4 linked regions of the Struthio camelus genome follow. The protein of the gene in region 3 interacts with the protein of the main gene of each other region in a biochemical or structural test. Links are inferred from orthologs where the notes say so. Each region holds a gene or a part of one and is shown on either strand. Other genes may lie near its edges. The genes, in order: ATP2B4, NET1, DLG1 and FRMPD4.

What was found.
Region 1: the proteins of DLG1 (region 3) and ATP2B4 form a complex in vitro, tested with the Homo sapiens proteins (2 studies listed by BioGRID and IntAct, with this or other methods). The link is inferred for Struthio camelus from reciprocal best matches to the Homo sapiens genes DLG1 and ATP2B4.
Region 2: the proteins of DLG1 (region 3) and NET1 form a complex in vitro, tested with the Homo sapiens proteins (3 studies listed by BioGRID and IntAct, with this or other methods). The link is inferred for Struthio camelus from reciprocal best matches to the Homo sapiens genes DLG1 and NET1.
Region 4: the proteins of DLG1 (region 3) and FRMPD4 interact in a test that uses a peptide from one of them, tested with the Homo sapiens proteins (2 studies listed by IntAct, with this or other methods). The link is inferred for Struthio camelus from reciprocal best matches to the Homo sapiens genes DLG1 and FRMPD4.

Annotation. Positions count from the first base shown.
Region 1 is NC_090965.1:6,586,448-6,593,605, reverse strand, and holds the start of ATP2B4 (plasma membrane calcium-transporting ATPase 4), read right to left. Parts: upstream 3,010-7,158; 5' UTR 2,863-3,009; intron 1-2,862. UniProt on the Homo sapiens protein: Calcium/calmodulin-regulated and magnesium-dependent enzyme that catalyzes the hydrolysis of ATP coupled with the transport of calcium out of the cell. By regulating sperm cell calcium homeostasis, may play a role in sperm motility.
Region 2 is NC_090942.1:2,273,235-2,280,468, forward strand, and holds the start of NET1 (neuroepithelial cell-transforming gene 1 protein), read right to left. Parts: upstream 3,002-7,234; 5' UTR 2,875-3,001; coding exon 2,738-2,874; intron 1-2,737. UniProt on the Homo sapiens protein: Acts as a guanine nucleotide exchange factor (GEF) for RhoA GTPase. May be involved in activation of the SAPK/JNK pathway Stimulates genotoxic stress-induced RHOB activity in breast cancer cells leading to their cell death.
Region 3 is NC_090950.1:18,055,527-18,063,316, reverse strand, and holds the start of DLG1 (disks large homolog 1), read left to right. Parts: upstream 1-4,788; 5' UTR 4,789-4,839; coding exon 4,840-4,858; intron 4,859-5,022; coding exon 5,023-5,154; intron 5,155-7,790. UniProt on the Homo sapiens protein: Essential multidomain scaffolding protein required for normal development. Recruits channels, receptors and signaling molecules to discrete plasma membrane domains in polarized cells.
Region 4 is NC_090942.1:141,381,802-141,389,794, forward strand, and holds the start of FRMPD4 (FERM and PDZ domain-containing protein 4), read right to left. Parts: upstream 3,004-7,993; 5' UTR 2,503-3,003; coding exon 2,462-2,502; intron 1-2,461. UniProt on the Homo sapiens protein: Positive regulator of dendritic spine morphogenesis and density. Required for the maintenance of excitatory synaptic transmission. Binds phosphatidylinositol 4,5-bisphosphate.

The sequences.
Region 1 (7,158 bases), on a different chromosome or scaffold from region 3:
CTCAGCGCCGGGCTCCGCGCGGCCCCAGCCCCTCGCGACCCCCCGGGGGCTCCTGCGGCGGGGAGTTTCCCGGACGGCGCAGGCGCTGCCCAGCCGGCAAACTCCGCTCGTGGCCTAGCGGGGAGCGTGCAGGGCGCCGCGGGTGGAGCGAGGCGCGGGCTCCGCTCCCAGGCGGCCGCTTCCCCAGCGCCTCGGGGCGCGTGGGGGGGAACTCCCGTCTGCAGCTCCACCCTGCTTCTTTCTGCTGCAAAACAATGGCAGAGCCCGAGGCTCGCCCCCGTCCTGTCCCTCCCGCTCTTACTCACCCTGCCCGAGGGCCGGTGCCCCGCTACGGCCCTGCTCTGCCTCTCCGGGAGCCGCTGCCAGCGCCAGCGAGGCCTCGTGGCAGCAGGTCCCAGCTGCTCGCGCACCGGCGCGGGGCTGCGCCTTGCTGCACGCTAACGGCGAGGGTGCACGGCGCGCTGCAGGAGCCGGGGCGGGCTGGGCGCACCTCGACGGCTGCGAGCCAGCACGGGGAATTCCCTCTAGCACCATCTCCTGCCATTCCAAAAAAAAAAAAAGAAAAGCACCCAGAAAAGCACCCTTTGCCCTCTCCAGCCACTACTTGCAGCGCTTGCACCACCTCCCCAGGGCCAGAAACTCCTTTCCCCCCCTCCGGGAGGGAGCCAACGCTTTCCAGAGGTCCCTCCAGCCTCCTCGGGAGGAGCCGCTCCCAGCGCGGCACCCGCAACCCCGGGCGGCGCGGCGTGGCTCTGCAGCGGGCTCTCGGCTACCCGCGCGCTGCCGCGGCCGGGCGCTGCCTCGCTCCGCTCAGGCGGCGGGAACGCAGCCAGCACGGGCGCTTCCTCCGTCGCGCCTCGACACCGGCACGGTTGGCCGGGCACTGGGCAGGGAGAAGAAACAGAAATGAAAAAACAAACAAGAACAACAACAACAGCAAAAATCTTACACCCAAGCACACAGTCCACTGCTTTGAACGGGCTTTGGGGAACCGAAGGGCACGCAGCGTTCGGGAGGCCTCCAGGACCACCCAACTCTTCCCGTTCATTCACCCAGAGCGCGCTCGGTGCTCCGTTCCCCGGGGCGGCCGGGCCAGGTGGCCCTGCCAGCGCCAGTCCCACGCCACCGCCACCGGTGGGGACGGCTGGGCTTCCCCGGGGACCGGGGCGGCCAGGACGGGAGGAGCGCGGGGGGCGTCAGCTCCTCTCGCTCGTGGCTAAATAATTCAGGTGCATCTCAGTTTGCTCAAGGAAGCAAAAGATTGAGGGCACCGGCGGGAGCCAGGCAGAGGCAAGGGCGGCGCGCCGGAGCGGGTGGGCCCCCTCGGGGACGCGGGGCCCCTCGTCGGTCGGCAGCCCCGAGGGCCGCTGGCTTCCGCCCCGTCCCGTCCCGTCCCGCCAGGCAGGAACAGGCTGCGCTGCTTTGAGCTCGGCAACCCGACCCCCACCCTCCCCCCCACCCGACCTCAGCTCTCCAGAGATAAGAGGACAATAACCTATTGTCCCTCCCTCCCCCTTTCAAGCTCCAGGCTTACCTCCGGCCGCACAGGGAGGGACCACCCTGCGCCCAGGGTCTGCGCGGCCCCCTCGGGCGCAGGGGGGCCGAGGTGGGACCCCCCGCCCCCAGCCCGGGCACCCAGGTCCCCCCGGGCGGATTCAAAGCAGATGCTCGACGGGGCGCAGCGCTGCCGACCGGCCTAGGGCGCGGGCAGCGGCCAAGGGCCCCCGTCCGCTAGCCGTGTGCGCCAGCGCTTCGTTGCTTTTTGGGGTTTTTTTTTTTTGGGGGGGGGGGGGGTTGGTTTCTTCTCCCCCCCCCCCCCCGCTGTGCATTTGCCCGGGCAGATTGGTGCAGGCAGCAGGGGGGACGCGCCTGGCGCGGTGCGGCGCGGTGCGGTGCCCGGGCGCTGCGCTCCCAGCGCGACCGACGGCCGGATCCGGCTCCCCCGCCCCGCCGGGGCCGGCAGCCTCCCTGCGCTCCAGGCGGGCGCCTGCCCCCCTAGGGAAACGCAAGAGCCAACCTTGCAAACACCTTTCCTCCCCCAGCCTGTCCTTGGGCTGCCGCAAGTAACTCCCCCTCCTCCACACTCGCACACGCACCCCCCCCCCGTCGCAGCGCCTGCCCTTCCCTTCGGTGCCCAGCTGCAGCTCCGGGCAGCGGCACGACGGCAGCGCGGAGACGGCGCCCGAGCCGCAGCGCTCGCCTCCCGCCTCCGCGGCCAGGCCAGGCCAGGCAGCGCTGCCCCCCCGACAGCGCCGAGCACGGCTAGCTCCTCGGCGCCGCGTCCCCCGAGGGCGGGCCGCAAGTCGCAGGTCCCCTGCGGCGGCGAGGATGCAACGCCCCCAGCGCGACCCTCACCGCTGCCTCCCACCTGCTGCTGCTGCTGCCGGATGCGCCCGGCGCCGGCACCGCTGCAGACTGCGCCCTCGGGCACGTCTCCGCCCGCCTTCCCCGTGCCCCCCAACCCAGCCGGCTGAGGAGGTGGGGGGGGGGGGGGTCGCATCCCACCTGCAGCACGCCGCTGCTCGCACACGCCTCCCTGCCAGCGGCTGAACCCCGCCGCAGCGCAGCGCAGCGCAGCGCAGCCTCGCCCCGGCGCGCCCTGCAGCGCCCCGGCTGCCCTCCCCGTCTGCGCACTGGGCCGCGGCCAGCCGGGGCACCCCGCCACCCGCTCGCCCCCGCAGCGCCCCGACGGCTAGCCCCTGCCCCGCGGGAGAGCGGCTGACACGGCGGGGAGCCGCCCGGGCACCTCTGCCCCGGGGTTGGGGTGGGGGGGGGGGAAGCCCCGGGACTCGCCCGCTCCCGGCGGGGCGGCCCGGGTCGGGGCAGCGCCTCCCCCCCCCCCTTGCACCGCCCCGCACTCACCGGCGCGGCGCCGCGGCCCGGCTGGCGGCGGAGCCCCCGCGGGCGGCCATGGGGCGGCGGAGGAAGAGGAGGAGGAGGGCGGCGGCAGCTCCGGCGCTAGCGGGAGAAACTGCTTGTCATGGCAACCCGCGCCGAGCCGGGCCGGGCCGGGCCGGGCCGGGGCGGGTCCCCGCCGCCGGGGGCGGGACTCTCTTAAGGTGGCGGCTCGCCCCGCCGGCCGTTAAGGGGGACGGGACGGGACGGTGCATGCACCGCCAAGTGCTGCGGGTTCCCCCCAGGTCAGTGCAGGGCATGCACCCCCCCGGCGGTATCGACCCCTCGGGTTAGTGCCGTGCATGCACCCCCGAGCAGCATGCACCCCACCAAGGCAGTGCGGTGCATGCACATCCCCAAGCACTACTGAGCCCTGTTGACCCCTCCCCCAGGTCAGTGCAGGGCATGCACCCCCCAAACAGCATGCACCCCACCAAGGTAGTGTGGTGCATGCACCCCCAAGCACTATTGACCCCCCCCAGATCAGTGCAGGACATGCACCCCCAAGCGGCATGCACCCCACCAAGGTAGTGTGGTGCATGCACATCCCCAAGCACTATTGACCCCCCTCCCCCAGATCAGTGCAGGGCATGCACCCCCGAGCAGTATGCACCACCAAACAGCATGCACCCCACCAAGGTAGTGTAGTGCATGCACCCCCAAGCACTATTGACCCCCCCCAGATCAGTGCAGGGCATGCACCCCTGAGCAGTATGCACCACCAAACAGCATGCACCCCACCAAGGTAGTGTAGTGCATGCACCCCCAAGCACTATTGACCCCTCCCAGATCAGTGCAGGGCATGCACCCCCGAGCAGTATGCACCACCAAACAGCATGCACCCCACCAAGGTAGTGTAGTGCATGCACCCCCAAGCACTATTGACCCCCCCCAGATCAGTGCAGGGCATGCACCCCTGAGCAGTATGCACCACCAAACAGCATGCACCCCACCAAGGTAGTGTAGTGCATGCACCCCCAAGCACTATTGACCCCTCCCAGATCAGTGCAGGGCATGCACCCCCGAGCAGTATGCACCACCAAACAGCATGCACCCCACCAAGGTAGTGTAGTGCATGCACCCCCAAGCACTATTGACCCCCCCCAGATCAGTGCAGGGCATGCACCCCTGAGCAGTATGCACCACCAAACAGCATGCACCCCACCAAGGTAGTGTAGTGCATGCACATCCCCAAGCACTATTGACCCCCCTCCCCCAGATCAGTGCAGGGCATGCACCCCCGAGCAGTATGCACCACCAAACAGCATGCACCCCACCAAGGTAGTGTAGTGCATGCACCCCCAAGCACTATTGACCCCCCCCCAGATCAGTGCAGGGCATGCACCCCCGAGCAGTATGCACCACCAAACAGCATGCACCCCACCAAGGTAGTGTAGTGCATGCACCCCCAAGCACTATTGACCCCTCCCAGATCAGTGCAGGGCATGCACCCCCGAGCAGCATGCACCCCACCAAGGCAGTGTGGTGCATGCACACCCCCAAGCACTATTGACCCCTCATGTCATTGCAGGGCATGCACACCTGAGCAGTGGCACGTACCCCACCAAGGTAGTGTGCTTCATGCACCCCCAAGGTGATAAGGGTACCCCCCCTCCAGGCAGTGCTGGGCATGCACCCTCAGGTGGTGCAGGCCCCGCAGGGCAGTGCGGACACCCCCAGCCTGTGTGGGACCCTTCCCAATGCACTGCAGTGCCTGCACCCTGGGTGGGGTGGGGAGGTGGGACCCTCCCCAAGGCAGCAAGGTGCATGCACCCCTGAGCAGCGTGGACCCCCCCGGGCCAGTGGGGGTACCCAAGCAGGGTCGGTGCACTCCTGTACAGGACCCTCCTCGCTCCAGCTGATCGCCTCTAGAGCACCCAAAGTCGACGCACGGCAAAGTCGGGGTGCCTCCTCGTGGGTGCTGGGGTTTGCCCGTGCGGAGCCAGCAAGTGCCCAGGGGGGTGTCAGCGGCCCTGCAAAGCACGAGGCAGAGCTCTTGGGCACCCCTTGGGTGACTGTGTCATTTGAGGGGGCAGGGGGTATGTGCATTTTTTGAGTTGCACAGGATTGGAGCATAAATAACCACCCTTTCACGCAGGCCAACCCGACCACCCCCACATTTTTTAGAAGCATATGAAATGCTGCAGTCAGACTGAAAGCTGCACTATTGCACGGGTGCAACAAGACTGGTGCAACATTTGGGTGTTGGCAACCTTAAATTAGGGTTAATCCTGTTTCTATCCCTACGTTTGGGCTTGCAACCTGGTTCAAGTTAAACCAGTGTAACATCTGTGCACGCACAAGCCCTAATTAGTGTTTGTAACGTTTTTTTTTTTCCCCTCCTCGAGGGCCTGCACCTCCATTACTTTGCATTCCTGCGCCGGCCCGGGGGGGCCGCAGAAGACGACTTCCTCGCACAGGAGCACCGGGAGAGCCAAGGCCCTGCCGCCCAGCACCCAGCAAACGCTTCCAGGCCCTTTTGCAGGAATTCCTCCGCCTGCTAATCGAAAGGCGCTGGTAAGAACGCGTCCGTTCGGCTTTCAGCGAGGTGGCTCCGTCTGGCTCGGAGAGCTGATGGTGGCGGTGCAAAGCCCCGCTGTGGACCCTCGCGGGGATTTCTCCCTCCCTGCACCGAGGCGCCTGCAGGGCCGCTGAGCGTGGCGTATCCCACGCATCCTGCCTGGTTGTTTTTCCTGTTGCTTGGCAAAGAGGGACTCTGGTGCTGGGTGCACGGCTGGGCGCTGCTCTGAGCCGCTGCTGGAAGCTGAAGCAAACCTGTGCTAGTTATCTGGAGTCGACTAAAAGTCGTCAGAGCTGCCAGCGCAACTCTTAATTAAAGCATCTCTTTCCTTTCAATAGTTTGCAACACAGAGGGTATCAGCCTGCTCGTGCTCTCTGCAGGGGGGTGCAGGCAGGGGGCTGAGCACTGCCTCCCCTCCCGCTGCAAAGCCAAAAGCGGGAACAAACAGGCCGGTTTCAGGCGGCGTCCTGCTCCCCCACCCCCCAAATAAAAGGCGGCTTGCAGAGACCACCGTTTGTCTGGGTGACTGGAGAAGGCTCGAAAAATACAGGGAGGAACAGACGGCAGACGGCATTTCCAATGGTCTGGGATGCAAAAAGGGCTATTGAGGCATAATAGCCTTTTAAAACAGCTTTTCTGAGCTTGGAAGGAATCTCTGACCATCTGGATTTGGACTCCTGAAAGGAAATAAGGCCTCCTGCCTGAGGGAACCTGTTGTTAACAGAGGGCAGTTCGCATTTGCAGAAATGTCGAGAATTTGCAGCCTCCTTGGGCTTCAGCTGAAATTGGGAAAGGCAGATCTTCCCAGCCTGGGTGCTCCGCGCTTCTCACTGAAGGAAGCGGCCAAAAAGCCGCTTCGAAATGTGCTTCCCATCCAGTGGCAGCCTGCAATTACAGTCCTAGTACTTAGCAGCTCCTGCCCGCCGTGTTTCCATTACGTCTGGAGCAGCCATAAACAGTCGGTCTAAAAGCCCCTTCCATGTCACACGTAAGGAAAAGCGCACGGAGGAAAGTCAACATCCGCAGCGGAGCGGGAGCCGCGCGGGCAGGGCGAGCGGCTGCGGCGGTTTGCGGATGCTCAGCCGCGCTCGCAGCGCGCCGCCGCCGCGTCCCGGAGGGCCGACCCGCAGGCGCGCGCCGCCCGGGCAAGGCCGGCAGGGCAGGGGACGCTGGGCTCCCGCGGGCAGGTCTCCGCAGGGCTGCTCCGCTGCTTCGTGCTTGTGCCTTTGGCCCCCTCGCTAGCCTCGGACCCTGGCTGGGTATTCGGTTTGTTCCCTTTTCTCCCGCTCCGGCTCCGGCCCCGTGCGTGGAGCTGGGAGCCGGCCGCAGGGAGCGCCGCGCGTTTCCTGCCCGGAGCTTCGGCCAGCAGCGTAAAAAAATACCCCCGAAAGGGGAAAGATCGGTCAACCAGACCAAGATCGGTCTTCTTTAAGAACTGGGCTTAACCGATGATTTCCCTTTAAGAAGAGTACCAAACTTCATCATGATTTGTCTTTAACGTCTCCCAGGCTGGGAACTTGTCGGTGGAGTTTTAGCCCAAAATGAATTGGATCAGCCAAGTTGTTATCAGTCACGTTATGAACCCATTCAAAACCCAGGGCCAGATCCGGATCTCATCTCCGCCGGTACAGACCCAGCGTCGCTCCGCGGGAGTCAACGGAGAAGCTTTTTGCACCGTGCCGGAGAGCCGAGGGCAGAATCGGACCCCCCCAGGGTTTACAACGGAGACACTGGACTGACTG
Region 2 (7,234 bases), on a different chromosome or scaffold from region 3:
ATGGAAAATTCTTATTAGATAAGTAAGAAGTTTTTCAAAATAAGTGTGGTCAAACTCTGGAACAGGGACCCAGAGAGATGGAAAAATCTGCATCCTTGGAGGTATCTGAAGCTCGCCTCGACAAGGCCGTGAGCAAACCGACCTAACTTTGAAGTTGCTTTGAGCAAGGGTTGGACTACAGATCTCCAGAAGTCCCTCACTAATTAAACTTTTCTACTATTCTACAAACAAATCTTGAGTCAGTGACTTCTTGAACTGTTCTACCTACATCACAAGATCACATCTAGGTGCTGAGCTGGCATCAATTTGCCTGTGAGAAAGTCTCCGGATGAAGGTTTAATACATACATGTCTTATCCGTGTCAACTTCTTTCAGTTTTATCGTAATTTTGCCCGGCCTCTCCACACAGACAAGCCTCACAAAGGAATGCACGACTATCCTACAAACAGCCAACATGTTTCATCACCTCACCAAGCCACTGAAGCCTTTAATTATACTATGCTTTTCAACTGCATTAATTATGGAACTACAAGATGATACTGCAGTACGCTTCAATGAAAACATTTGTTTTTAAAGCTCATTAAAACGTTCTGCCATCCAGAACGCACCATGCTTACTAAAGCCAGCCATTATGAAAGCCAAGCTCATTTACGTTTAACTTGCTTTGATTTAGGCCGCCAAATAAAGAACACCCATTCCAGCCTCTGGGGAATTTCACCAGGTCTCAAAACAAGGGACTGCCCAAGTCCCCTTTCTCCCACCCATTTCCAGGGCACAGATGAGGCTGGAGAAGAGGCAGGAGCATCTCTGGCCAACATAACCCAGGTAGTGAAAAGCAGCTTCCAGGCAGGGCTGTAAAGGGTTGCAATCCCCCAGTCAGTACAAAGAACTATGGCAGTAAAGAAAGGACCCCAATTGCATCTCGGGGCGAACTGCAGCTTGCACACAGCATTTGGAGGTACAGACCGGGGTTCAGCGAGACACAGCCAGAGCCACCTTTGCCAGAACTTGAGGGTTTAGAATTTTTTGGTACGCTACAGATCGCTTCACTTAGAGGACCTGAAGGCAGACTGTAGTCGCACAGAGGAAACAGAACAGAGGAATGTATATTTCTGTGTAAGGGGGAACGGTGATAAGTCAGAAGTTTTATAGATATGCTCTCTTCTCTTGTCCTAAGCCAGCTGACAACCACTATCCTAATTTAACAGCTTAGGGCATCCACATATCCAAGTCCACCATCTCCAGAGCTGGGAGTGTGCTTCCCTCACAATGCAATGCACTTTCCACACCACCAGCATGATTGCAGAAGTCATTTCCTAACCCCAAGGGCAACAGAAAACACAAGCCACCTCTGATCAACCTGGGTTGGTCTAGATGTTAGTCAGCAGGAGATGGGTCATCCAGGGGTCAACTGCAGATAGGGCAGGATCTGCTTATAAACACAACCAGGTATTGTTATTGGGGTCAACACAAACTGAGCTTCTGGTTAACTCAAGAAGTGACAGTGTCCTTCACAGGGTGGTCTTGGGAAAGGTCTCAAAGTCCAACAAACACATCAGAATAACTATAACACATGGCACACCAAGGCAATTAAACAGAGCAAAAGCCAGGGCAGACCCTGGAGCCAAAACAGGTCTTCCCACCTCAAGGGAATAAGCTGATCAGGCATTCCAGCCCAAAGAGATCCTGAGGACCAAGCAGGGGTAGCTGGCAATGGGCAACCCAGGGGGGAAACCTGCCCATTCTGGCCCTTCCTGCCAGGCAGCCTCAGGCTCCCAGTTTTACTGACATCTGCTCCCCACTCCGACCCACCAGCTGAGGCCCCTAGGGATCAGCACCTGATACGGGTGACAAGGGGAGCCCAATCCCCTCAGACATGTGGCAGCACAATAAGAGCGATTGGAGAGGGGAGAGGACACCCTAGGCCCCAATCACACTGATGCCCACCCTAGGAAGCAGCAAGGGCCCTCTCCTCTTTCTGCCAAACAGGTGGGGGCTGCAGGCAGCCCAGGGGATACCCCCATGAGCAAGGTGGGAGGAGGGAAGTCTTTGCATGAAAGCCTCAGGGTAGTTTTGCACCCAGGGATGGAGAGAGGAATGGCCACCTTCCCCATTATGGGATGGGGCATAGAGGGTGATCCCCTACAGCCTGCAGATCACCCCTCTCCTCTATACATACACTTACAGGACAGGAACAGGCAAGGGATTCCACACACCCTTTATGGGGCTGACAGGGATCCCCTTAAACCACAAACAAGTTCCCCTTATAGGATGGCAAGGGGTGACTTACAGCCTAGAGAGTACCCCCTTATAAGACAGGAGGGGGGAAGAAGTCCCCTGCAGGCTAGAGGGTGTCCCCTTATACAATAGGGAGGCAGGGGGCCCTTCCTTATAAAATAGGAGGGGAATAGGTCCCCTATAGTCAGCAGAGGGAAGCACCCCTTTAAAAGGCAGGAGGATGAAGGGTCCCCTATGGCCTGCAAGGGTGGGTCTCTCTTATAAGAGAAATGGGTAAGTGGTCCCCTACAGCCTGGAGGGGGGGGGTCCCCTCTTATAAGATAGGGGGAAGGCACAGTCCCTTCTATAAGGCAGGCCGGCAAGGAGCTCCCCCTCCTTTAAACGGCAGGAGGGAGCAGGGTCCCCTCTTCTGAGATACACGAGGGACACAGGGAGCACCGCGGCCATCGGCGGGGCTCCAGCCCCTGACGCGGCGGCGGGGAGGGATCGCGGCTCCTACCGGCTGCAGGAGGCGGCCGAGGCGGCCCCGCCGGGGGTGCTGTCCGCCGGCGGCGGCGAGCGGCTGGCGCGGGCCCCAGCACTGACCCTGCCCCGTCTCCGCCGAGGGGGCTTCTGGCCCGCGGGCTCGGCCTCCATGAGGACACGACACGTCGCGCCGAGAGCGGGGAAGGGAGCGGGCACCGGCCGCACCGCTCGGCGGATAATGGCGGCGGCGGCAACAGCAGCGAAAGCAGCGACCGGGGGGTTTGAAAATGGCGGCGGCGGCGGCGGCGGCCAATCAGCGCCGCGGGAGGGGCGAGTTGCTAGGAGACGCGGGGGGCGGGACAAGCGAGGGGGGCGCGGCTGTGAGGCGGGAGGGGCGGCTGCTGGGCGGCCCCGGCAGAGCGCAGCGCCCCCTGGTGCCCCGCGCTGCAGCGGCGCCTGAGGAGGACCCCGGCGGGGGGGAAGGGAAACTGAGGCACGGAGCCGTCGTGCCCGGCGGCGGCCCGGCTCTCCCCGGCCTCGCCCCCCCGTCTCCTCCTGCCCCCCACCCTTCCCCTCAGCCTTTTCTCCTCAGCGAACACGGAGCCGGCGCCCTCGTCCCCTCAACGCCACCGAAGGGTGGCCTTCCCCCCCCCCCCCGGCCCCCGGCCTCAAATCTCAAAAATGTACCTCAGAAATCGCCTCGAGTCACGAAAAAGTACCTCAGAAATGGGCTCGAAGCACGTACGAGAGGGTCGGACGCGGGGTGAGCCGGGGCCAGGGCCCCTCAGGGAGCTGGGCTGCCCCCCTTTCCCTTCTGCCTTCCACAGGGGTTTCCCCCTCTCCCTGGAAGAAACGGGAGGTGCCCTGAACAGTCACCGAGCTGAAGAAAACACAAAAAGTGGGGATTTGTATCGTAGGGCTCAGGAAGGAAGGGGAAGGGGGGGGGGTCTCCGCTCTCGGACACGGGGAGAGGCGGCCGGGGCGGGGGATTCGTGCGTGGTGGCCTTTCGGCGTGGCGGCGCGCAGCCGCCGCGTAAACGGTTTACGAGGGGCTCTTAAATTCTCACCCCACTGGGGAAAAGCAGATGCTTTGGCGAGGCGGATGTTCGCTAGCAAGCCCCCCACCCCCGCAAAAAAAAACCAAAAAACAAAAAAATCCCCCCAAAACGGCCTTAAAAAGCCGTCAGGATCCCTCCCGCTCCGCTTTGGGTTAAGTGGGACTTTGAGCGAGGCGTTCAGACACGCTCAGCTGTTAGTTGGAAACGTGGCCCCGTTGGGCAAAATCTCAGTTTTCCTCCGTTTCAGCCTTCTCCCCCTGCGGTTAGTGGCTGTTGGCAGGGGACAGGGCTTCTCCCCTCATGCGGTGGTGGCAGCCCCAAAGTTTATAACGATTCGACTGGTCCTAGGAGAGAGGGAGGGTCATGACTTACCCTCGTTTAGAAATTGGGAGTGCCCGCTCTGGAGCGCAAGTCTGCCTGTAGACTAGACAGTTTTGGCAGAAAATCTCCCTTTATCGGTGCTGGCACCCCAGGCAGCCGTGCTGGAACGGCCCTTTACAGTTTATCATATTCGTTTCAGCGCAGGTTGGTCTCAACTTCTGTACAGCAGTTGGATGAAATGCTTTGAAACCCATAAAAAATCCTGCATATGTACAAGGCATTTCACTGACTTGGCTGTATTTTAGTAATAAATCAGAAATGGATTTTTCAGAGATATTAAAAAAAAAAAAAGCCTAACTTTTGAAGTAGAACCTGCAGCTTGGTTCAGAAAAAGTAGATATCCTCCCTTTAAGCTGAACTACAGGAGGCTGCCAAAGGGTTAAACGTAACCATCTGCTAGACAAAGACTTGAAGGCTTTAGAAAGAAGATGTACTTCTATTTTGAAATGTACCATTGGGATGGGAAGAAGAGCAAGCGTACCCAATACACCAGGATTGCTCTCAGCAGAGTATTTTGCTATGCCAGAATACTCAGACTTAGCACTGATATTATGCCAAAGCTAGGAGAATTAATTCTGCTTGTACTATTCCAATGTGGACTTAACGTGACAAAACTGTGAAGTTTCTATTTTTGTTCAAACCTAAACGGTTCAGCGAATTGCGTTGCCCCGCTCGGTATTTCATTTATATTGGCTTATAGTCACTGATAGGCAATCGTACGCTTCGTGTCCACCAGCCAAATTGTTCCCTTCTTCACAGTCCTCTACAGCTTTGTCCTCTGCCCTGGAGTCCTCCCCTGCTCCACATCAGTCATGCCACACCACATACCAGTCACAGAGGCCTGTTTCACGTACATCACGTTGAACACATGATTAGCGGGACCCTGGTTTCTGTAGCAGCCCTCCACAAACTGGTGTGTCCTCTTGGTGTTGAAGAGCTCCTGGTCTTTCAGGACCTCCTATTTTTTGCATTCTGCGATGGCCGCAGTCACGTCCCTGGGCGCTGTTTTCCCCCACTACAGTAGGCAGCAGACCATGGACTTATCAGATGACTTTTAAATCCAGGTGAAGAATTCCCTGGTGATCTATGGCATGGAAAAGGGCTTGTGGCAGGCCTTCTCTGCTGAGACTATAGGTGCGTAGGTCATGAAGGTGAAGCATATCTAGATATGGGGACACCAGGGACAGGGTCGCCAGGTTGGTCTGCCTTGGTGAAGAACCTCTCATTGTGAGCCACAGGTCTCCTATTGCCAATATTTAGGAAATGTGAGAAGCCAGTCCAGCTAAGGGACCCTTTTCAGGTCTCTTGGGAAGGAGGTTGTGTTCCTTCTTCCGTTAGATTTCCACCGGTTTCTGGTATTTCTCCAGTGACTGTGGGCTCTGGGGCAAGGTGGATGCTCTGGACAGCTACTTCCTCAGTCCACTCGCACTAATGAATGATACAGAGGAGCTTATTCATTTGCTTGGTTATAGGAACGATGCCTTGTGGTTGGACCTCATGTATGAGGCTGTACTGAATTGTCTGTCTGCATACCAGCAGCCTGCCTCCTAGAGATAGAAATGCATAACCCTTGCGTAGGACTAGGAAAGAAGAAAACCAAGAAGCTCTATGAAAGAAAACTGTTCACAGTTTCAATTCCCACCCAAGAGGCAGTAGCAGCAGCAATAATTTCATCAGAGGAGGCAGAAGCTGCACAAGAAAAACCCTCCTCATGGAGTCTCCAGCAGTGACGTGACACTAAAGAGATCTGCCTCCAACACATTCCTCCCTTGCTCCACTGTACGGCAGTACGTATCAGACTGGAGTCATCATGCCCGAGGGAAGCCTCGACTTATTATCACAGTTGCTTGGGCAGCTGAGGCCAAGCACTGGGCCAGTAGGGTACATTACTCTGCTAATCAGCATGTGAGCAAGAGCCTTCAGCTGGACGCTCTAGCCTCACCCAATGTCGTCTTCTCCTGGCTTACACATGAGACTTACCAGCCCTGTGTAGCCCTGATAACTGCTGGTTGTGCAGTTTATGCACACCAGAGCTGGAATTTTAATAAGCATAAGTGGATTTAGGATGCTATGTAAAGATATCGTCTCACACACAGACATGAAGGTCAACGTTGGTTGGCACTACCAGGCTTCCTTCTGGGCAGGACATTGTGGCAGAAGCTCAGCCTTGCTTCGGGCCAGATCCTGACTTTACATCAAGTCCTCAGTAGTGTCCGAGGCTCTTTACACCACTGGAAACGGACTCCGGCAGTCCAGTGTGTATCAAAGACAAGTAATAGCTAAAGACTATGGACACACAGTATCCATGATAACTCATGAGTGGTGCACAGCTAGAATTACTCAGGGAATTGCTCAGAGGCTTCCTGCTGATGTTGCCGCATCTACCTGCTAGCAAATGCTGACAGAGGTTGCAAAATAGTTTCACTGAATTTTCAGAAGCTCATAATGCTCCAGGAGAAATTGTAAGTTTGATCTTTGCTCCGTGCTCCATCTTTGGGGCCAGAAAGGACTTTATTCAAAGGAGGGCTTTTGCCTGCTAAGCTTTCTGCTCCCAGCTCTCCGCAACGAGTAGTGATGACTGTATTGACTTAAATGGATAGCCTGTCTAGTGAGGACTATGGCCTTTTGGAAAGATTTTTTGGATTAGGCATGGGATTAGTAACACATGCATTAAGGACTTGTGGTTCTCAAACAAGCAGACTTAATTAGGCAAAGATTAAAGCACGCTTCATTGACACCGATCTCTTTTAGGATTCAAAGTGTCGAGTTATTTTGCAGAATTTTCTACACTTGGCAATGTTGCTCCTTTAAGCAGTTTCACTACTTTGAAAGTAGTCGTCTGGAGGATTCGAGGCAGCTTAGACGTTTATGGTGCCATAAAACCTTAGGCCATAAATTGCACATGATGAGGGTGCATGTCACCATCAGTACTTCAAGTCATTAAAACAAAAAAAAAAAGCTGTCTCATATTTTCATCTTTAAAATCCTAGAAAATAAGTGCTGTAAAACTACATGAAAATTGCCCTTATGTTCCAGTTAGTCAGTAAGCATTAGGCTAGATAATACATGTGGTTCGCAGCCACAACAGTAAC
Region 3 (7,790 bases):
AGGGACATGTTCATCTACTGGTCACTCTCAGCTGGAAGAACAAAGGAGTCACTGGATCCTTGTATTTAGATCCAGTTCCAACTATCTGAGAGAAATTTCAGTTACGAGGACAAACAGTGGATCACAGACGTATCATATAAACTCACAATGGAGTTCACAAATTAAACATACAAAGCTTGTGTTCCTGGGGAAACTCTCTTCTCTCTGTAAGATTAAAATCAAAGAATCAGAGATGCGTAAGATGATCCCATAAGAGTTCTATTGAGTAAGATTAACTAAATAAGCTAAATTCTGATTTTAATAAAATTCTGATTTTAGTAACTGGAATAATTTCAGGTCATTTAAGGGCACTGAGGACACAGTGTATTGACTTGTGTGTGTGATAAACAACAGCTCATTTTACCCACAACGACAAAGACAATAGAAAGGAGTGAGCTGGTATTTTGACTGATCACTAAGTCTACATGACAGGATCACAGCTCTTTGGGTTCTGTGACACGGTAATTACAGAATATAATGAAAAAAGTAGCTTTAATCTTTAGTAGCCTCATGAAAATTGGTTACATCTGGTAACTTTTGCAAGAAAAAGACATGCTACCATGTTGTGCTTTCACTTAAGCAGGACTTTCCCATAAGAAGTTGTCTGCATCTGTTTTAACCCACACAATTACAGCTGATTAAAAAAAGACACTCTCTCAGCGCCCAGCTCCTGGAAGCTAAGGCTGCGGCACACCATCCAATCTTATCAGACATTAGAGAATCTAGACGAGGTGAGGCATAATAAGCTAACTTCCTTCAGACTTCATTCCTTATTAGCCAGAGGAAATTAGGCTTCATTACTTTCATTGCTCCCCCAGTTAGCTGTGCAACATTGCATTGAGCTGCAAGGGAAGTGAAGTGAAAGCTTTCTGCAGCTGTCAGAGATCCTTTTATGAGTAACAATTCCCAGTTCTGCATGAAAAAGTGAAATCATCTGTGCCGTATGCTTATATGGAGACTGCTTTTAGTCTGTAGGCATTAAGCAGATGACAAACATAAGATATACAAACGATTAACTTTCTTATTTTCAAGTTTTTTCATTAGTAACCCCAATATCAAAAACACCTGAGTTTACAGCAGTTCTTTTTGCCGAAGTTACCGATTCTGGCAATATGCCAGCTTATGCACTCGTGTCCAACTTGAAATAAATAATTGTACCATTATTTAGTTAGTTAGTTTACCTCACCTTCTACTCTAATGCCCATCCTCCCTAAACAGAGTTCATCTGAGCTCATGTTTTCTGGGACATACTGGTTATTGCAAACTGCTGCAATGTGGTGACATCCGTTGTCCTCTTTGTCCTGTTTTCTAGATGGCCTTTGCTGTGTTGATTGCTGCAGCGTGTGTGGATCTAGCTAATGTTTCTTGAAGTCTCCTGATCTAAGCTTGTCGTACCTAACCAGCTACTGCGTGTGGTGCCGGGGCAAGCCAGATTTACTTACATTCCCATCCTGAGTGGTCTACGCGGCCATCAACATGTTCCAGTGGGACTCAAGGCTAACAGGGTAAGAAGTTGGAAAGCGCCCCCTGTCCCCGCACAGTGAGGTGCCAGCTATGCAGGTGTGTGGAATGGCACAAAGAGCCATTTCCAAAGCAGCTTCTGGCAGCGAGTCTGCCCGAGGAGCGAGTGCGCAGGCAGGTACAAACCCCCGGCTCGGGTCACTGCTGTGATCATTTTCAGAGCAGGTACCTACCAACAAGCTCTGACAGTTTCTCAAAATGAGAAAACATTGTCTCTGTTTAATTATGGGTTTGTCAACAGGGTTTACTAGCCTCCTGCACACAGCCTGCACACAGCCTGCTTTTCCCTTCGTGCATGGATTGTGTGGGCTAGGATCAAGTTATGAATATTTCTCCACATCTGGGCAATACACTCGTGTTGTGTCTGCCTCCTGGCTGTCCCAAGCTGCCTGCTCTCGCACAGATATGCCCCAAAGCACAATCTCCTTGAATGAGTGGAGCAATGCATGCCTTGTGGCAAGTCTCCTGCCCTTGCCAAAGGTTCGGTCCCAGACAGAGGGTCCCACACAGGCTGCTGACAGCAGTTGCAAAAGAAGGATTTTAATGGCGGAGGAGAGGAGCTGTCTGTCAGATCCCCGGCTGCTAATGTGGGCAAGAAGGCTAGAGGGGAGGCAGACACTGCTTCTTGGCTTAGTTCTGCTGGAGTTCTTATCCCAAGGGTCGCTCTGGACTCCAGCCAAGATACGTTGCGCTCAGCATAAAGCTGACTTGTATGCTGACCACATCAGTCACAAATTAAGCACAAGCCTTTCTGTATGCTGCCTGTAATTGTTTAATTTAAATTATATTGCTTAAACCGTGGCATAAATGATGGTCTGGTTCGTATTGAGTTTTCCCCCCTCTCCAAGGGAACTACCCAATTTTCTGAAAACTGGAGCCTGAAAAATAAGACGTGTAATAGAGGGCAGCTTTATAATACAGGCTCTTACTGTAATGTGCAAATATAAGCGTAGTCATTCATTCACGGGATATTTTCTATGTATGCTAGGTGCTCAAAACCACTTTGTATACTGAAGTTTAGTACTGTGCAACCTGGTTCAACCACTTTCAGCCAACAAATATACTCCTAGAACTGAAACAGAAGTGCCGGGAACCAACACCACTCTCTGAGGTGCAATAAGGTTCACCTAATTGCTTCCTGGCTTGCTGATCCATCATCCTGACCCTGTCTTTGATGTGTGTTTTTCTTCCCAGAGCATTAGTAACAAGCGATAAATACTGTTTCAAGGTGCTGTATGGGGTTATTTCCCCATTCCCAGCACAATGAGTATATATTTGGGGTTATCTTTTATTTAAAATAAAAAGCCTTGGAAACATCAAATCCTGCTTATGAAAGAGTAGTTTGTTTCTTATGCTGGTACCTTTAATTGCAAAAATTTTCTTTTTTTTCCTCTATAACAATACTTTTCTGTCGCTCAGCAAACCACCCTAACTGCTGCAGATGTCTTTCTGCTAGCTAAATTTAGGCTGTTCTTCCTCTCCCTCTGTATACATTTCCCTGACATCAAGAGGACTACGGCCCCTTTAAAGTACATTTATTGCTGCTGTAAACAGTGGAAACTGAAGAGGCCAAACAATGAAAGCCTCTGCCAGTGCTCCTTCTTGACACGTTTTCCTTTAAAAATACATGTGAACTGGTAAAATTTCGTGCCAAAACTCTGAAAGTATGAAAATATGACAAGAAAGGAGGAAAGTGGGAAATGTGTGTCAGTATACATTAAATGTATATTATAATGTGTTTTCTTCAATAAGGTATGTGAACAATTTCACAGTACATAGCTGCGGGGGGAGGAGAAACTGCTAGTGCAAATCTAACTAGGAAACATGGGAGTATTGGAGAATGCAAGAGAGGCCTTTCCCAGATCTGGGTTAGATTTGTTGCAGGGTAAGTTTTCCCTATTTTAAGATTAGGACCACAGCCAAATCTGGTCCTGATTTCCAGACTGATCTTTTCAAATTTGCATGAGTTTTCCAGATGTTTTTTAGCTACCTGGTTTAAGCTCTTGTACATTTTCAGCTGTATCTAAATCCAAAAAAAAAAAAAAAAAAGCGTAAAGAGAGATGCAAGCCTGGATCAAAAATCACATCAGCGGGATTTGCTTTGAACTTCTCAGCATCTGCCTCTCCTACGCACACACACGGAGTTTGCGGTTTTTCAGAGCCGAGGTTTTTCTGCTTGAGCTTCCACCGGCCCGAGAAACGAGTAACCCCTGGCCGAGACAGGCACTGGAATTACCTCCAATCAGCGTTACTACGTGTGCGTTTGCCCCGTTAACGGGTATATCGATATCGCTGCAGGGATCGTTTACGTGGCGCATGTTTCTGACCGCGTCGCTCGGGGCTCGTTCCGTCTGCTGTCTCTCCCCCGTCACAGCAAGAACCTGTTTGCGCCTCCTTTGAGGGCGCCTCAGCGCAACAGGTAGACGCCGGTGAGCAGCGCCGGGCCGGGCCGCCCGGGAGCCGCCGCCCGCAGCGCTAACTAACGGCTGCCTCGGCCGGCCTCTGCGGGCTGCTCCCCGCGGCCGGTACCGGGGCATCGCCAAACTTCCCCGTGCGCCCCGCTCGCTGCGGGAGCGGGCGCGACCCGCCGGGGAGCCCCGCACCTGGGGGGGGCGGCGGGCACCGCGCCGCGGTAACGGCCGCGCCGAGCCCCACCGACCCGCCGCGGGCTCGTCAGGCTGCCGCCGCAACGGGCGCTCCCGGAGCGGGGCGGGGCGGGGCGAGCCGGGGCGGGGCGGGGCCGGGTCCCATGGCCCGCGGGGCGGGGCGGGCGAGGCGGGGCCGGGCCGCAGTGCCCAGCGCCGGCCCCTTTAAGGCGGGCGGCGAGCGGCGAGCGCTCACCTTGCCTCCTCCTCCCCCCCCGCCTAGGTACCGGCCCCGAGCCGAGCTGTGCTCTGATTGGGCGGTCGCCGGGCCCGGTCACGTGGGGGGGTGCGCTCCCCATAGCCGCCAGGCCGCCATTTTGGCTGGAAAGTTTGGAATTTCCGAGCGGCGCGAGCGGGAGGCGGCGGCGGCGGCGGCGGCGCGAGCGGCCGTGAGCCCAGCCCAGCGCGGCCCGGCCCGGCCCTCCCCTCCCCGCCTCTCTCGCGAGGCGCCGCGCCGCGGCGGGCGCGGGCGGGAGCCCCCCGCGGAGCCGCTCGCCGGTCGGTCGGGCAGGGAGGCAGGCGGGGCCGGCGCCGCGGCCGCCTCCGCCCGGCCGGCAGGGGGGGCCGCGCCCCCCCCCCCCCCCCCACGCTGCGCCGCGCCGGGCTCAAAGTTTGTGAGGCGGCCGGGAGCGCCATGCCCGTCCGGAAACAAGGTGAGCGGCGGTGGCGGCGGGACGGGCGCGGAGGGCGGCTGCCGGCGGGGGCGAGGCCGCGCTCTCGGGGCCGCCGACAAAGAAGCGGCCGGGCCGGGGCGGCGCGGAGGGCGGCGGCGGGTGCTGGCGGCGCGCGGTGACCTGTGGCCGCTCTCCGCCCGCAGACACGCAGCGCGCCCTGCGCCTCCTGGAGGAGTACCGCGCCAAGCTGAGCACGGCGGAGGACCGGCAGCTGCGGAGCTCCATCGAGCGCGTCATTAGCATCTTCCAGAGTAACCTCTTCCAGGCGCTCATAGGTAACGGCTGGCTCCTCTCGCCTTGTGGGCGTGCAGGCGGCGTTGGCGTTGACTCGCCCCTGCCGGGAACTCGGCGCTGTGGTGGAAGCCGGGTGCTTTTTCTCATTGTGTTGTTGTTTTGCATAGTAACGCACGTGCTGTTACAGATCAGCGGTTCGTTTGCTTTAAACAACTTGCCTTGCTCTTTTGACTGGCCCGATCTGCTTAAAGCTCTGCAGTCTGGTGCCGTTGTTTCTTCTGGGACGTGCCGCTCTAGACTCCTTAACGCAAGCTGTTTCTCCACTTACATCTTTTATCTGCCTGAACGATGTATAGCAGTGTTCTTTCCTGTGCGTCGTTATGTCACAGGTTAGTGAATGAGTTGAAGTAGTTTTACTCTAAAGTAGAATTTGGGCAAATGTTCCTGGTCTAAAAACGTCCCAAAGTTTATATTTGGAGTGCAGGGCTAACTTAAAGTGAATGAGAAGAAAATTCAAATCTTTTGGGGAAGGCTACCGTTTTCTCTTTCACAACACTAGCAGTAAATGAAGGAAGACATTACTGATTCTTAGTGTAGCGTACTTGTAGTGCTTATTCACTGAAAATGTTCACATAAGTCTCGTTGAAGTACTTGTAGGTAGTTTTGACTTACTTGCACATACACCTGCTTGGAAAAAAAAACGGAGCATGACTATAACTTGTAGAATCTTGACTTTGTTTTGAAACTTTTACGGGGAAGTGTTAACTTAAAGATAATGACACCTAATCAACGAGAAACTGTGTGTCAGCTAAAGAGTAAATGTTTTACTCTTTAGAGTAAACTAACAAAACTCTTAAAGTTCATTATCCTTGTCTTTTAGTAAATGGAGTAATTAATCTGTATCTGACTTCTGTAGAAACAAACATTCTAGCTAGCATGAGTTTACTTTTGTTACTTGGCATTTACATAACTTGTTGCATGTTTAAAGTATCAGATGAGTGTGCATGTCACTTCATAGTACTGACTTCTTTGAGTCTAAATTGTGTTGGTAACATGGGGACAGGCAAAAAACATAAACATGCGTTGCTGCATTTGGAATGTTTTGTTTGGAGCATTTCTTTATTCTCGTGTAGTTTTTCAGAGGATAGTCACCTTGCTGTGTTTTTGTGAGATAAGTTATTGAAAGCTAGTTGTGAAAACAGGTCAGTTCAAGAAATCTTGTACTTCAGAAGTGTTACGTGTTTCTCTTCAACAGTCAGTTGATGGTAGCTACTCCATGGTGAAAAACTAGTCTAACCTTTGTGGGATGTGTTTAAATAAGATTCACTGGTGGATCAACATGCTGAAGTCTTGCGTTAGAAGCTTGAAGTGCTGCAGTCAGGCTTTTTATTTTCATCCTGGAAATTTTCAGTGTTGGTTGCCATTTCTTCTTCATTGTCTTGAGGATCCATGAAGTACTATGTGTTTTCTCCCATTCATTGAGCAAGATACTGGTCTATTTACATAGCATTAGCCTTTCATATTGTAACCTGTAACACGTGCTTTCTTATATCCACATAAGAATTCTCATCAGCTCTGTGCTTAGCAGTAAACTTTGCAACCGCATATTTGCTGGCTTCTTTCTGCAAGAACAGAAAACGGGAATGGTGGTGTTGCCTGGGTGGACTATGTAGCCTTTTCCTCATCTTATAAGAAGTTGCATGTTGCAACCATTTGACCCCAGTTTTTCTCTGGTGTGGTTAATCTGTGCATGCACAATAGGTATATGCTTCTTTGCATTTACAGATTGATTGAGCATACACACATACACTCCATAACAAGAAATCATTCAAACTATTTCTCTGAAAGATGGTAGCACAGAAGACTTGCTTTCTAAGCATTTTATGCTCTCAACCTCAGTCTTTCTCCTTTTACTCCCCCCGCCCCCATGGAAATACATCACGGGAGTTCTTGGTAGTGACAGGCTATTGTTATTCCTGGAAACATCTTTGTGGTGTGACTACTGCATGATGGGGTGAGGAGCAGGTTGGAGCAGTGGGGACTCCCTGGAAAAGATGGTGTCTGGAGGATGGCTGCAGTTACTGTGAAGATCTTCAGCCTGCTCTTGCCTGCCCTCTTTCCTTGGACAATTGGGAGCAGGCTGGATAAAGGTTTTGGTTGTGCTGCACGTTAGATTTCCCTGGAATACAGCATTTTTCATTACTTCATAGTTGATTCTTAAGTACAACTCTTCAAGGAGTTGGGATGTGTCTGCAAATTAAACATCCAAGGCTGCTTTGACAGCAAGATGCAAGCTCAGCTATGAAGTTACTTCTCATATAGATACTTATTCTGGAAAGCAAGCTACTTCTAGTTTCTGAATTTTTAGAAGAATAATAGTAAAATCAAAACACCCTAATCATTTGTCCCCTCTCTCTTTCTTCCGAGTTGATGTATTGAGAGTTGCCTGTCAATGATAGGTGAGGATGTTTGTGAAGGCTGCAGTCAGTATCTGCTGTCAGCTTCATGCGTCCTTTTTAGTACCCCAGTGTAATAATGCCTGGTACTCTCAATTAAATGACTACTCGGGCCTTTGATTAAAATCAGCATGAGAAGTAGTATTAGTTTTAAGTCCTGTTGTATACTCTCAGAATTATGGTATCTTTTCTAGCTTATATTTTCTTGATTGTAGTTAAAA
Region 4 (7,993 bases), on a different chromosome or scaffold from region 3:
AAATGAGAAGCTCCGAACTCACAGCAAATTAAAAAAAAAAAATGACTGAAAGGCTTAAAAATATTCAGTAGCAGCCAAGCGCTCAACAACTTTATGCATGTAATCTGCCTGAAAGATCACACTCTCAGTCAAGATCCATTTATCCTATCTTTCTTTAAAAAAAAAAATCTTCCTTCTAACAGCAAGGGAAGAATCAGCATTTCCAGGCAAACTAGTTTTTCAACCCAGACTTATAGAGGGATTAAAAATGGGGTTTATACTGGAACGTGGCTGCTCCACGAAGTGCTCATAAAATTGGAACAGATACCTAGCTGTTACCTAGGAAACAGCAAAGTAAAGTCCCATGTAAACTATTATGGTCATTTAACAACCAGAAATTCAGAAACAAAAAGAGTAGCTCGGTACAGAAATGATTTACTGCAGTCTAGAAGATGAACTCAGTCCCTGAATACACAAACTTCATATCCTTGAATCAAATGAAGCTTGATACAAGCCTTGAAACTTGTGATTTAATTGCAGAAAGAATTTTCAGGTTTTCCAGTGAAATACTATGATTTGCCTTTATCTAAATACAAATCTCAGGAATGGTAACATCTGCATCTTTGAGGCTGTGGAAAGTCAACAGATAGTGTACATACCAAAAAAATATTTAAGATTGAATCTTAAAATAGATCTAAAAACTCCCATGTTCCTGACTTAATAATATTTCCATACAGCACATCCCTTTCTCTCCCTTTGATTTTAACTCAGGCGTGACAAATATGAAACATGAAGGTTTGAGGGGATGGGGGGCTTTAAAACTCTGCTCTTAAATAAATAGAAGCAGCCCAGCAATTCAATATATCTGGAAAAAAAAAATCATACTACATGACCTGCTCCTTATCTATGCTAGCATATTTTCCCTCTCCTCGAAGTTTCCACTGTAGTTACTGCTGTTGCAGCTCTAGTGGCATCAGCTGGAAACACGAATCAAAGAAAGCTGAGCAGGCCACTAGTGTTTTAGCCGTCACATCATGTAAAATTGCTCTGAGCAGGATGAGACAATGATGTACTTGAATGACAGCAGCTGTTCTGCGCAGGCATTGCCACAAGTGGAGCTGTAATCACAGCCAGGTGCAATGGTGGGAAATTTGGGGGATAAAGGCTAGGCTTGCACCTGTGGCATTCTACAACTTCCAGCCATGCAATATTTGTTTTTAAAGACCATCTGTCATTTTGACAAGTTCCCTATCTGAACGTCACTGAAGCAAGCTGCCTTTTGTATTTCTTTAACAAGGCCTTTCTCCTTTTTGTACAACATCCAATTTCAGTCTATGCTTCATAAACAGAAATGGATATGGTAACTATGGTGTCCTAAGCACTGAATCGTAAGAATTCAGAACACTCCTAGTTACTGTGATCAAAGCTAAATCCTTTAGGAGGATTATCCACACACACAGAAAAAGAAAAAAAGAAAAATCTTGCAACTCGAGCACTTTTATACAGTATCTTTGAGATAAAGTGTGATTTCCCACGTTATTGAGACGTGTTACCTCCAATTGTGTTTACCTACACTGAAAACATTTTTAATAGAGGCTACTGCGCTTCTTTGTCCATCTACGTAGCCTTAGGCCTGGCAACTAGCTGCGAACGCAACAGTCTGCAGACAGAGACCAGCACTCGGAGGCTATTAAAAGGAAGACTTATTCGAAAAGGGAAAGACATCCTCATTAAACACCCATTTCAGCAACAAAAAGTCCACGCCTCACACCCGTTCCAGCAACAAAAAAGTGCATGCCTAGCCAGCGAGGGATGGCAGACGCCAAACCCGCTTGCTCCCCAGCACCTATCATGCGAAGAGGCAGAGGGGCAGCGCTTAAAGAGCTGACGATGATTTCACCACTTCTCTAAAAATATCGCCGGGCGCGGAGTCGGGGGGCGGGAGGGCCGAGGCGCGGGGCAGGGAGCCGCCGCCGCCGCGAGGCGGTGCCCCGCGCCCTCACAAGTTGGCCGCCGCCCCCACCCCCGGCAGCGCGCGCCCTCGGCGACCGTTAACCGCCGCTAACCGCCGCCCCCCGCACCTCACCCGCCGGCGGCCTCAGGGAGGCAGCGCCTGCTTCCCCAACCCGCCCCAGCCCGGTCCCGGCTCTCGCCGCCGCTTCTGCGTTTCCCAAACAGTTCTGCTCTGACCGTTTCACCACGGCCAGCGCTCCCGGTAACCCCAGCTGCGCCGCGGCAAGAAGCACCAGCCGCGGGACCACGTTTATTGTCTTTTAAGATGGGGGCAGAGGGGAACAACCCAACGACACAGAGCCACCGGCGTGACCCTCCGCAGGTGCCGGGGCGGCAAGCGCTGAAAACCCGCAGCCCGACCCCGAGACCTCCGCCCCGGCGCCAGGGAAGTTGAGCGCCCCGGGGTCGGCAGCCCCCCGCAACCTCCCGCCCCCGCCGGGCACGGGCACGGGCAGCGCCGAGCACCTACCCGGAGAGCTTCCCAATCTTCACAAAGCTAAATACATCCATCCATGCAGCCGGCCAGCTCTGCCCGTCACTCACTCACTCACTCCAGCAGCAGCGGTGGCGGCAGCAGCAGCAGCAGCAGCTCCATATCGGGGAGAAGGTTGCGTCCAGTGGCAGCAACAGCCCTTGCAAAGGCAGGAGCCGGCGGCGGAGGCTGCTACCCGCCTCCGGCTGGGAGCTGGGCGTGCAGCATCTCGCAGGAGCAGCATTCATCTGCGCGCAGCCCTCCCCCGCTTCTCGCGCTGCCTCCCCTGCCCCCTCCCCGGGGTAACCGAAGGCATGAGGAGGGCGGTGTGGCCGCCAGCCCGGGCGCCCGCCGCTCCGCGCACCGGCAGGCTGAGAGGGAGGCGGCCGCGCTCCGCCGCCCGCTGCCTCTTTGCCGTATCCCCGCTGGAGGAAGGCGGAGAAGAGCGGCGGGGTGCGGGGGAGAGGGAGGAGGGGGGGCAATCAGCAAGGTGGAGAGGGGGAGTTTCTCCTCTCGCCGGCAATGTCTCCCCCTCCTGTGGGGGAGCGCAGCGCGCAGGCGGCGGCTGCCCGTTGGCTCCCGCCGCCCGTTGGCTCCCGCCCGAGGCGGCGCTGCGGCCGCCGGCAGCGGGCCGAGGGGCCTGGCCGGCCGCCGAGGGGAGCTAGGCCGGGCTGGAGGCTCCTCTCTGTTGGGGCGGGCGGGCAGGCAGGCAGGCCCGGCGAGGGGGAGAAGGCCCCTCCCCAGCCGGGGAGAAGCACCCTGGTCCTTTGCTAGAAGCCTGCTGCCCAGATCCCGAAAGCAAAAGTTGGGGGAACCGGACAGCCCTCTTCCACCACTGAGGATCTCTCCCCAGCGATCGTGCCTCGCTGTCCTGCCATACTTCCCCCTGGGGCAGAGGGAAGCCCTGGTGGCCTCCTTGAGATGTTCCTCAACCATGGACCACTGACCGGCAACACGGTGGCAAATTCACTGCCCTGCTGTCGCCAGAGGAGGTTGTCACCATCCCGTGGCTTCTTTATCCATGCCATGTAAGAGATTTTGAGGAAAGGAGTCCTCCTAGTTGTGACAGGAGCGCTGCAAGGCTGAGTCATGACAACATAGCTAAGCGTTCCTCATCCCATGTTCTGTGGGAAAATGGTGTAGCTGACGTCCTGACGTTCACAAGAACACAAGGAGACAATGTTTTCTTGTGCTTTTGCCCTGCATAAAGCTTCAAAATAGGGACTGGAGTTTAACTGCTGTCCGTAAGCTTCCTGTGAGTGAGCAGGACAGGAGCTTGGAGAAATTCAAATTCGTTTTCACATATAGATGTGCTTCGAAGCTCTACACTACGGTACAATAATTCTCAGCATGGGAATGCATATTCTCCTCTTCACAATAAAGTGTGTTTATATGTGTCTTCATTTGCTAAACAGATTCATACGCTCTTTACTTCCCACAGTTTCTGTCTCCTTTGGAGGCTTGCACCTAAACTGTCTCAGCAACCAAAAATTTCAGAAATGACAATAGAGGCCAATATGTAGACTCTAGCAGCTAGAAGAAAACAATGCAATTTTTTTAATATTAAAGCTTTTATTGATAAGGGAACAAAAAGAACAGGCAGTACGAACACTCACTGTGCATCAAGTTTCAAACTATTCTTTAAAACAATAACAAAGAATGATTGATTATCTATTTACACTTGGAGAACATTAAACAGCCAGCTAAAAACACTTGCAGACCTACCATAGATGTAAATGCTTTGTGCATATTCTGAAATACTGTATGAAGTACTTTATGCTAGTACATCAAAATATTTATGTGGGTCTTACGTGCAACTATATTTATTTATTGTTATACCAGATTTTTTAAAACGGCAGAACCTTTGCCTGTCATTCACATTGCTCTATTGATTGACAAAAGTTACAAAAATAACACAGTTTCAGCTGGTTAGAAACTGCGTTATTTATAAAACTGTCATTATTTATTTATAGACTAAGGAGATAGGCCAAGATCCTACAAAGCAAACTGATGCTGATGAAATGATATACCATATATAAAATTAGGCACATATGCTCTGTATAAACAAGGTCCCCTATCTTAAGTACTTTACATTCCAAGGCCTAACACACAATGGTGCCTCAAAGCGTAGGAGTGAGAGCCAGAGAAGTGAAGATGTTTTAAGGGTTCTGTAGCATTTCTATACTTTCAAGGTCTTCTGGTGAAACGGCAAATATGATCCTAGGATGCATCGACTGAGGTATTTCCAGTAGAGACAGAAAAGCGGACAGCATAAGATCTGACCAGAAATGCTGTACTCAGCTCATTCAGGAAGTGTGTTTGAGAAAAATGAAAGCAGGTGCAGGAAAATACTAAAAATGTTAAAGGTAGCGAAGTGTGCCTTACGAGAAGAGGCTGAAAGAGCTTAGCCTAGCAAAACAAAGACTAGGGATGAAAAGACTGCTGTTTATAAATGTATCAGTGTGATAAACAGAGGATGCAGTACCCAAAATGACTGGGCTTAACAGAAAGTCATTACAATTCGAAGCTGAACTGAAATTATTTTTCTCTCTTGCCTTGGCATTCCAAAGAGATAGATGAACTATTGCTATGATTATAATTACTTTGATATTTTTGTTTTCCTGAGTGGAAATCGTTGCAACCGTACAAATTGTCCAGAATGGCTGTGGAGATACTGTTGGGACAGCCGATACCCTGGAGATCCATTAGTAGCAAAATCACAGGAGTCTTATTCCCAGATGTGCAGACATGAGCAGAGAACCCAAACAAGTATACTTGTTCCAACTGTGCTAAATACTGGAAGCTTTCTGGATCTGTGCTAGGTGGGAAACACGCGTGGGGGTGGAGATTGGAATATCAATCACAACACTTCAGTTCATGGTTCTTTGGGCTCTGGTGTCACAGCAACCATGTATAAAGCTATCTCAGCTGTAGGAAAATGATAGAACCTGCCAACCCGGAGAAGCAAGGTGGAGGACGTTGTTCTGTCTGTTTCATGAGTAAACATCAATTAATACATGTAGTTTGAACTGGTTTTGGAGCTATCATCTGTAAATGATCATATTTTGGTATTATGCCTTCCTTTGCAGGATATGTCAACTAGACAATGCCATGACTGAACTCTTGCAAACATATGTACTTTTTTTGTCACTGGTGTGGGATTCTTCTCACTAACTACCAAAAATCGGGGTTCCAGCCTCAGTTAGTCATTCCCTGTCTCTGTGGCGGACAGGCACCTATCACTCCAACACATCTCATTCTAAAAAAAGTGACATGAATTGCCCTTTGGAGATGCTCTATTTTCTCTGTCAACTCCAGTGGAGAGGAGGCCCTAGGTTCCTACCTTTGACTAGAGGCCTGTCTTCTAGATGCCTAAATTTAGGTCAGATAAAACCCATTTGTGGGTGACAAAGGTACATGTAAACTCTGAATGAGAACAGACAGCTCAAGACAGCAGAACAACGTGTATTTAGTATCTCAGTAACAAACAATAATTGAACATGAAGTTCCTAATCTTAAACCAGGAATTTGACATCAATTCCTGACTGAATGTTTTTTTTTTTAGAGTAGAATTCTAAGTCTCTATTTTTGAGGATGCTTTGTTATGGTATACTATGACCTTTTTATTACTTTTGGCTGAAGTAATTCAATTAGGACACTTAATACTAATGTTTTCTGTAATCATAGATATCCTACTGTAGATCATGGGCCAGTAAAAGCCATAATTTCATGTAGTATGGCAGTTTCACCTATAGTTTCATTTATAGAAAAGGGAGTCTGCCTTATTTTATAATGCTCTTTGTTCTAAAGAAAGTGACAGACGTAATGTATGTAGGAATGTTTTGGCATACTATTAATAACATAAAACTAATTAAATCACTCTAAAAACTATTAATTTTTTCAGACATCTAAATTCCTTGGGTCCTAGGGAAAATGCTGTGAAGATGGGATGTAAATATCTTTATGAATGAGATCAAAAGCCGTTTGTTTGTGTGTTGCTGTATTTTTGGGATTTTTCTTTCTTCATTCGGAGGTACTGAATGCTCAAAGAAAAATATGAGTTGGACTCTCCTGGCTACCATACTGCACAAACTTTTTTAGCCCTGCAGCTTCACCAGTAATGTTCATTTTACTACATTTGCTTCAGTACGATTTGATCCTAGATAATTTAAAGGACGTCAGGTAAAATCTCACACCAAAGACATAAAATGAAACCTCTGGAAATGACTGAAGTCCACTTATTCATTTTAATACTTTTGGAGGTCTCAAAAATTTTCCTCTCAGTTAAAAATCTACCTCTACAATTTTTTTAAGACTAGTCTTTTTTTTTTTTAGTGATTTGGAATCTCAAAGAGATACTTAAAAGCACTGTATTTCACCTTTAGGATGGCTTTTAACTCATCAGGTTATAATGATAATTTATTTCCTGAGATAACAACTGAAGGTTCCATGATTTTTTTCATAGTGCTTGATGATATTATTCATATCCAAATGGCATAAATGTTTAAAGGAGTGTGATAAAAAAAGCCATTGGTTAATGAGATGTTAGTACAGAGCTGCTATCGAAACCTGAAGTTTCAAGGAAAGATACCATTTTGACATTGTAGTCTGGTACTTACTGAATGTTATTGATAGAGATAATTGTTTATGACTGTGCAACGCCAGTACGTTCTGTAGTAGTTTTCTGATCTACTTGTATTTCAAACCATTATATTCATTTTTTCAGCTTTGAAGCTTCAAAACATGGATCTTTTTAGAAATGATTTGTTTATCCCAGTGGTTATTATCCATACAGTATACGTGTCTATATGAAAATACTGTAACAGTTACAGATTTTCTCTGTGTCTGCATTTACAGCCTTATCAGGAAGTCTTTCTGCTCTCCTGGAATCTATACACCCAGCTTCTACACATCAGTTTTGGCAGTTTTATTGAATAGAGTTTTATCAGGCATAATTTTTTTAATGACTCATGCAAACTGTTAAGCTCTAAAGGTTTCATTTTTGTTACATAATTTAGTGCAGTAGATGTGATATCACACAGAAAGTCAAAATTAAATCATAAATAATTGAAAATTTAAATAATAGCAGATAAGATTATTTTATTTGTTGCCATTTAGGAAACAAAGAAGTCCAGAGGATGGTAAAGTTAGTACATTTCAGCATTATGCTGTTTATTAAACAGCAGCCTAAAAGACATTGCATTGCATGGAACAAGATAAGCAAGGATTCCACAACTGGTGCAACCATTTTTCTGAAGCGAGGCACACACAGTTAAAGCTACACCAGCAGGTTATTTCAAAGAGATAGTGAACAAAAACTACTGGTTGCTGTTATGAACTGAAAAGTCTTACAGCATGTTGAACCTGATATTAAAAAAATTGCTTTCATATGTTGCAACACACAGACAAAACTAAGTTAAGGAATGGGACCTTAGCCAAAATAAAGACAGTAATATTTTCTGCTTCAATGAATAAGACAATACTAAAGCATCAGTTCTTTTAAAATAGACAGGTCTTCATAAAAAAGGA